Callithrix jacchus: one gene and its partner. The protein of the gene in region 1 purifies or fractionates together with the protein of each later gene. This does not show direct contact. Links are inferred from orthologs where the notes say so. Each region holds a gene or a part of one and is shown in the gene's direction. Other genes may lie near its edges.

Region 1 (4,896 bases):
TAAAACTATGGATTCACAGACAACGTTATTTTTAAAACTCGGCAAGCCTGCCTTACGAATCTGGGGAGGGGGGTGTGTGCCGTTTTCACACCCATCACAGACTCCACCTGTGGACCAGGCACTGCCCCAGCTACGTAGGCTGCGTCTGCACTTCTGGGCCTTCATATCCAGGCAAGCCAGGCGGCTTCTTTGGGGGCAGCATACCCGGCTATGGGACCGCCAGCGGCATTCACGGCCAAGATAACTATGAAAGCCCTGCGGCCAAGGCGGCACTCACCTTGCCGCAGCCCGGCGGCCCCCATAGGATGAGCGAGGGGATTTCGTTGGTCTCCAAGAGCGAGCGCAGCAGGGTCTCCTGGCCCACCGCCCTGCTCTGCCCGAAGTAGTCCTGCAGCGTGTCAGGACGCATCTTGTCCGCCAGCGGCTTGCCCTCTAGCATCTGTCGGATCTCCTCGGCCGCCAGCGCCCGGGGGTGCGGGCGGCCCCCGCCGGTGGCCCCGAAGGCGGCGGCGGCGGCGTCCGCAGCGTCCGCATCCCAGTGCCCCGAGTCGTCCTCGCCGTCGGCGTCCGCGTCCCCATCGCCATCGCCGTCGCCCACCGCCTCCTCCTCCTCCTGCGCCTCCGCCTCGTCCCAGCTGTGCGGAGACGCGCTCCCCGCTGCAGCCGCGGCCGCCGGCCTCTTCCCAGACCCCTTCCTCCCGGGGCTGCTGGAGCGGGGCACCGGGAAATCGGGGATGAGGCGGGCGCCGCTGGGCGTGGGCGGCGCGTCGTAGCTCTCACGACTCTCGGTCTCGCCGCCGTCGTCGCCCTCCTCGCCCTCGCCCTCGCTGCTCTCGGCTGCCGTCGGGGTGGCCGGCTGCTTCAGCGCGGAGCTCTCCGACAGCCGCCGCCTCTTGGCGCCGGGTGGCGAGGATCCCTTGGCCCTCTCGCCGGCGCGGTGGGACCCGGCCGCGGGCTCCGCGTGTCCCGCGGGGTGGAGCAGCAGACAGCGATCCAGGTGCGAGTTGATGTGCGCGGCGGGCATCATCTGCTGGCACACGGGGCACTGCACCTGGTGCAGCTGCGAGAGGAAGGGGTCGTCTTCCGGCCCGCTCACCTCCATGGCGGCCGCCGCTCTCCCCGGCGCCCGGCGCGGCCGCAGCAGCCCGTGCGCACGCTGAGGCCTCTGCTGCCCTCCACTAGGCCCCGCGCCGCGCGACCCTTGCTCTGGGAGCCGGCAGGACGCTAGCGGGTCGAGGGAGGGCGCAGCTCATGCCTCACGTCCGCAGCTCCCGCGTCTGCCCGCCCTCGGCCGGCCGCTGGTAGCGCCTTGCGCGGCGTGTCGGGAAGTGTAGTCCACTGCTGTTAGTCCCGGCGGCCGCACCTCGCCGCGCGGCGTGTCGGGAAGTGTAGTCTGTGGCCATTTGTCCCAATCTCCGCCGACAATACCTCGCACTGCACTTGGGGAAGTGTAGTCCGCAGCCGTTCGCCCCAGCCGCCGTGCGTCCATTTCCGGCTATGAGCCCGGCATTTGTGAGGGGGGGGCGGGTCGCTGGGCGAGCGTGTTGCGCGTGCGCGAGGTTGAGCGGTGGAGGAGGCAGCGCCCCACTCGAGCCTGCTAGGCGCGCGACGGCGGGGCGGGGCGGAGCGGTGGACTGCCTGCAATTCTTGTAGCGGCGAGCGTCGCTTTCCCGGTCTTTTGCGCCCGGCTGATGAATGGGAGGAACAGGAGGAGGCCGCAGCGGGTCGTTTATAACTAAAAGGAAATGGAGAACACCCCCAAAAGGCTCCAGTAGAAAACTGGACAACGGACCTGAACAGCAGAACAATACAAACAAGTACGCAGGTGAAAGAAATGCTCACCTCAGTGGCGGCCAGAGAAATGCAAATAAAAGTCCCTCGCCCCCTTTTAGAATTGTTGACCTTTTTAGTCAAGGGTGGTTCACTTATAGCGCGCTTCGAGCCTAGAGATTCTTCTCGCGGGCCACTGTGTGATAGGGGCAAATCGGAAACAGGAGCCTTAGGTTTCCTTAGCAACCAAATGATGAGAGGTGCCCGTGTGCAGTTACGTCGTAGACAGGGATAGAAATAGAATATCAGATTAAAGCAAGTGTGGCATTCTGCATCTCTGAATGAATTACCGTGTTCTGTGATTTTATTTTCTGCTTTTCTGTAAATATTTCGTTTTAAAATATGTATCTTAATCATGCATTTTTGGTAACCAGAGGACGTAAGTGAATTGAGGGAGAAGGAAGACTTTTATGAAATTTGGCAGACGTGGAATTTTTATTTAATCTGCAGAAGAGCAGCTTGAGGATCTCACTTGTTCTGTCGCCCAGGCTGGAATGCCGAAGCCTCGAACTCCTGGGCGCCAGGGACCCTCCCATCTCAGTCTTTTTAGTCATCGGGATTACAGGCTGAGCCACGACACCTGGCTTGATGGTTAAAAGTTTTTCTAACTAAAAAAGTTAGGCTCAAAAATAAGATTAATAGAAAAGCTAGAGAAACATGAGTTAAGAAATTTTATTTCGTTTATCATCGTATAATTTGAAATCGTGCAAAAGACAGAGGATCGTAAGCTTCATTGATTGATTGATACGGAGTGTCACTCTTGTTGCCCAAGCTGGAGAGCAACGATGTGATCTCGGCTCACTGCAGCCTCTGCCTCCTGGGTTCAAGTGATTCTCCTGTCTCAGCCTCCCGAGTAGCTGAGATTACAGGCATGCGCGACCAGCCCAGCTAATTTTTTTTTTTTTTTTTTTTTTTTTCAGTAGAGACAGGGTTTCTCCAGGTTTGTCAGGCTGGTCTTGAACTCCCAACCTTAGGTAATCCGCCTGCCTCAGCCTCCTACAGTGCTGAGATTACAGGCATGAGCCACCACGCCCACCTGAGCTTTTATTTTTATTTGTCCCTCAGAAGGACCATCACAGGAACATCACAGAAGCAAGTACTTCTTGGAAAAAGAGGTTCTAGGGCCGACCTCAAAGCAGGTTTTGAAAAGTGTTATTAAATTTGGAAATATACTACACCGATTTTAAACATTTATAGAAATATATGGACACATGATCACTCTTAACCCATCCAAAAAATTTTTTAAATAATAACAAACTAGACAATTGTGAAGTTTCTTGAATCTCTCTTTTTTTTAAGACAGAGTCTCACTCTGTCACCAGGCGCCAGTCTGGAGTGTAGTGGCGTGATCTTGGCTCACTGCAACCTCCGCTTCCCGGGTTCAAGCAATTCTGCCTCAGCCTCCCAAGTAGCTGGAACTAAGGCGCGCGCCATCACGTCCATCTTATTTTTTGTATTTTTTTTTTTTAGTGGAGACAGGGTTTCACCATGTTGGCCTGAATGGTCTCGATCTTTTAACCTCGTGATCTGCCCGCCTCGGCTTCCCAAAGTGCTGGGATTACAGGCATTAGCCAGAGCGTCTGGCCAAATCTCTTCTTTTAATAAATGTAAGGCCTAAAATTTCTTTTTAAAAAAAAATACATGCCATAGAAAATTACTTATAATCATTGTTAGCATTTTAGCACATTTTCCTAGTCTTTTAAGGTGTATTTCAAGATTAGACAGTACTTACATACAGATGTAATTCTGTGTCCAACTTTATTGTTACGTAAGTGTTTTCAAAAGTATTGTTATGGGAAACTATTATGTACTGTGGGAGTAAAAATTAAGAGATATAAAGCGTATATATAGTATAATTCCATTTCCTTTTTATTTGTGCTTTACTAATCTATATAATACGTATAAGAAATACAAAGCAAAGATTCCGTGTGTATGTACATATGTGTGTGTGTGTGTGTGTGTATGTATATGTATGTATGTATGTATTTTACTCCCATGGCCACACGTATAGATGAAGTTGAGTTATTTGGATGAACTATAAGGTGAAAATGGCACTAGACCTTGACTTTAAGAACCCGGGTTTTGATGTCCATAGCGTGACCTTGAGAAAAACTATATAACTTCTCAGACTCAGTTTCCAAATCTAAAGGAGGAATAAGAATGCCTACCCCACAGTCTGTTGTGAGAATTAAATGAACTTGTCAATATCAAAGTAGTATAGTGCCTGGCACCCAGTAGGCCCTATATTCTTTTTTTCCTAAACCCTAGCCCCCTCTGTCTGAAGTTCAAGGTTTTCTCCACTAGGTGGCGATGGTAGAAAAATAAATGAAAAATCCTTTGAAAAATCACCCCTCCTCTTCTATTGCTTTGCCAACCATGTTTAAACTTTCTTTTCAGATCACCATAAATACAAATAAATTTAAACTCATGTATTATAAGGTCTTAGGAGATGACATCAATGTAAAGCAGAAATCTGGGCTTCCATTTTCTCCTTTAATACCTCACTGTTGAATTGTCTGCAGGTGGCCTCAGGGGTTTACTTTTAAGTATGTAACCATCTTCTCTGTCTTCCTTCCCCGAGTCAGAATCGGGGGGATAGATTCAGTGGTGACTCAGATAGACCTTCTGTCGGGAACCACAAGTAGAGTCAGCTTGGCTGCAGTGCCTACGAGCAGGTATTTTATAAGCGTCCAAGTATTAGCGAACCTTTAGGCATCATCTTGCACCCTCGTTTTCATACGCAGGGTATGCTGGACAGTTGAGTCCAGTTAATCCCACATGACTCACATCCCTGCCATCTTTAGTCAGCATCCTCAAAGTGGTCATCTATTCTTCCTACTCTGATTACTTTCCCCTAACCCAACCTCATGTTCCTTTCTCTTCTTGTCTTTCCACTACATCTTCTGGAACCTATGCCACATTTCTTATTGTTTATTCTAACACATTTTATATATTTTCTTGCTATTGTAAGTAGAACCTTTTATTTACTCTATTACTGCCCTTTATTGTTATAAAAGAAATGCCTTGACTTTTTGTTAATTTCTTTCATACTTGGCTTTTTTGTGA
Region 2 (3,394 bases), about 24 Mb from region 1:
ACTTTGTGGCCATTTTGAAGTTGGAAGGGACTATGTCCAGGATAAGTGGGTTGGTGTAACTATGGTTCTAATGCCTCAACATAAGGGGCAATCAGATTGAGGCTGACAGAAATACACCAAGATTTTCTTTGAAGATAAGGGCTTTAACAAAACAAAAGTGGGCGCAGTGGTTCATGCCTGTAATCCCACTACTTTGGGAGGTGGATCATGACTAGCCTGGAGTTCAAGACCAGCTTGGCCAACATGGTGAAACCCTGTCTTTACTAAAAATAGAACAACAACAAATTAGCTGGGCATGGTGACGAGTACCTGTAATCCCAGCTACTTGGGAGGCTGAGGCAGGAGATTCACTTGAACCCAAACCCAGGAGGCAGAGGTTGCAGTAAGCTGAGATTGCGCCACTGCACTCCAGCCTGGGCAACAAGAGCCAAACTTGTCTCAAAAAAAAAAAAAAAAAAAATTGGTCGAGCTGTTGGCTCCACACCTGTAATGCCAAGGCAGGAGAATCACTTGAATCTAGGACTTTAAGGGCAACATAGCAAGATCTTGTTTCTGCAAAAAAAAAAAAAATATTAAGTGGCCATGGTAGCATGTGCCTGTAGTCCAGCTACGTGGGAGTGTGGCTTGAGCCTGGGAGGTCCAGGCTGCAGTGAGCTGTGATCCTTAACATTGCACCGTAGCTTGAGCGACAGAGCCAGAGCCTGTCTTAAAGGGAAAACAAAAGCAAATTCCTATTTGTATTTTCAGGCCTTGGACAAGATTCGCTATGAGAGCCTGACAGACCCTTCAAAGTTGGACAGTGGTAAAGAGCTGAAAATTGACATCATCCCCAACCCTCAGGAACGTACCTTGACTTTGGTAGACACGGGCATTGGCATGACCAAAGCAGATCTCATAAATAATTTGGGAACCATTGCCAAGTCTGGTACTAAAGCATTCATGGAGGCTCTTCAGGTATGTGCAGTTTTGCAGGCACACACCATTCATATTTGTCAGTGTGCTTTGGTTTGTTGCTTTTCGAAAACTTGTGTTTGACTTTAAATAACTTGTTGGCAGGCTGGTGCAGACATCTCCATGATTGGGCAATTTGGTGTTGGCTTTTATTCTGCCTACCTGGTGGCAGAGAAAGTGGTTGTGATCACAAAGCACAATGATGATGAACAGTATGCCTGGGAGTCTTCTGCTGGAGGTTCCTTCACTGTGCGTGCTGACCATGGTAAGCTCTCCCGTTACAAGTTAAGCTGGGTTGGAGTTTTCTGGGCTTGTGAAGTGGCAGAAATTTTTAGCATCCTGTTTGTAAAGCAGTTGAAATTATAGCAGCCTCGCTAATATACTTTTTTTTTTTTTTTTTTGGCTTGGTGAAGTCTTAACTGCTTTTATATTTTCACCCTGTTACATGCTTGTGACTGACTCTTGTAGGTGAGCCCATTGGCAGGGGTACCAAAGTGATCCTCCACCTTAAAGAAGATCAGACAGAGTACTTAGAAGAAAGGCGGGTCAAAGAAGTAGTGAAGAAGCACTCTCAGTTCATAGGCTATCCCATCACCCTCTATGTGAGTGTGGACTTTTAAACCTTTTTCACTTAACGTGCAGGGTGTTTCCTGTTCTGGAGTCATCATGGGCCCTGGCTTTTGCTTTCCCTGTTAGTGGTTAGTACTCAAGGCTAACTTTTGTTTTTGTTGTTTAGTTGGAGAAGGAACGAGAGAAGGAAATTAGTGATGATGAGGCAGAGGAAGAGAAAGGTGAGAAAGAAGAGGAAGATAAAGATGATGAAGAAAAGCCCAAGATTGAAGATGTGGGTTCAGACGAGGAGGATGATAGTGGTAAGGATAAGAAGAAGAAAACTAAGAAGATCAAAGAGAAATACATTGATCAGGAAGAACTAAACAAGACTAAGCCTATTTGGACTAGAAACCCTGATGACATCACTCAAGAGGAGTATGGAGAATTCTACAAAAGCCTCACCAATGACTGGGAAGACCACTTGGCAGTCAAGGTGAGAAGCCCTTGCACATTGGCTCAACATACAAATATGGAGAGGAGTGAGTAGGTGGCGTTTTGGCAGGTAATAGACACATGGAACTTGTCCTCCTGATCACAGAAATGTTGAGAACCATGTGATTTCATTGATTACCCTGTCACAGTGAGGAGCTATCCTTCCTAATGACCTCACTTTGTCTTCTGATGGTAATCTTGGTAATGTCTGCCCCTGATCATTGAGAGCATTAAGGCTCGGTTTTCTAGAGAGCTGCCTGTTGTGTGTGCTTTGTCCTTTAGGCTTAGGGAGGATCATTGTTCCACTTTTAGGTAATTTGTTGGGGCTAAAAGGCACTCTTTGGAAATGTACTACTACTTGTTTATGTTTGGATTCTTTCAGCACTTTTCTGTAGAAGGTCAGTTGGAATTCAGGGCATTGCTATTCATTCCTCGTCGGGCTCCCTTTGACCTTTTTGAGAACAAGAAGAAGAAGAACAACATCAAACTCTATGTCCGTCGTGTATTCATCATGGACAGCTGTGATGAGTTGATACCAGAGTATCTCAGTGAGTATGTCCTTGGCATAATTTAGTTGGGTGAAGTCTTGGGGCAAGGTTTTCAACATTCTGCAACTAAAAAGTCTTATTCCTAGGTGTAATAGTTCTCTGCAATACATAGTGTGTGAGGGTTCAGGGGGCAATAGCGCCTTCTCTTTGAATCTGGGTACCAGGTCTGGTCTAGCTGTTTTTACTGAGTTTTCTCATCCTGGTTGATGGCAGACTTTATCCGTGGTGTGGTTGACTCTGAGGATTTGCCTCTGAACATCTCCCGAGAAATGCTCCAACAGAGCAAAATCTTGAAAGTCATTCGCAAAAACATTGTTAAGAAATGCCTTGAGCTCTTCTCTGAGCTGGCAGAAGACAAGGAGAATTATAAGAAATTCTATGAGGCATTCTCTAAAAATCTCAAGGTAAGGAGGCACATGGTTATTCCCTTTACCACTTTCTTAGTAATTACGATAAATTCTACCATTCTTATAGAAGGCAAGGTTATTTTAGTTAAGTTGGATTGTTTTTTTCTCTTCCCACTCTTCAAGCTTGGAATTCACGAGGATTCCACTAACCGTCGCCGCCTGTCTGAGCTGCTGCGCTATCACACCTCCCAGTCTGGAGATGAGATGACATCTCTGTCAGAATATGTTTCTCGCATGAAGGAGACACAGAAGTCCATCTATTACATCACTGGTACGTTGGTTCTGATCGAAGCCTTTTTGGAGGAAGAGGGAGCACATTCAGGGCTACCTGGGAACTGGCAGTCTGAGGCACTTTGAACACTGAGTCCATTTAATAACCCTACAGGTGAGAGCAAAGAGCAGGTGGCCAATTCAGCTTTTGTGGAGCGAGTCCGGAAGCGGGGC

Evidence for each region. Proteins that work in one complex are often made in the same cells at the same time.
Region 2: the proteins of MYLK4 (region 1) and HSP90AB1 purify together in Homo sapiens (affinity purification with mass spectrometry; 3 studies listed by BioGRID and IntAct, counting the BioPlex papers as one, with this or other methods). This does not show direct contact. The link is inferred for Callithrix jacchus from reciprocal best matches to the Homo sapiens genes MYLK4 and HSP90AB1.

What each region holds. Positions count from the first base shown.
Region 1 is NC_133505.1:28,780,709-28,785,604, forward strand, and holds the start of MYLK4 (myosin light chain kinase family member 4), read left to right. Parts: upstream 1-1,550; 5' UTR 1,551-1,695; coding exon 1,696-1,817; intron 1,818-4,896. Other genes in the region: ATPase WRNIP1, read right to left, coding at 278-1,102.
Region 2 is NC_133505.1:52,714,345-52,717,738, forward strand, and holds part of HSP90AB1 (heat shock protein HSP 90-beta), read left to right. Parts: intron 1-747; coding exon 748-954; intron 955-1,056; coding exon 1,057-1,216; intron 1,217-1,419; coding exon 1,420-1,553; intron 1,554-1,687; coding exon 1,688-1,996; intron 1,997-2,377; coding exon 2,378-2,543; intron 2,544-2,756; coding exon 2,757-2,947; intron 2,948-3,073; coding exon 3,074-3,221; intron 3,222-3,335; coding exon 3,336-3,394. UniProt on the Homo sapiens protein: Molecular chaperone that promotes the maturation, structural maintenance and proper regulation of specific target proteins involved for instance in cell cycle control and signal transduction. Undergoes a functional cycle linked to its ATPase activity.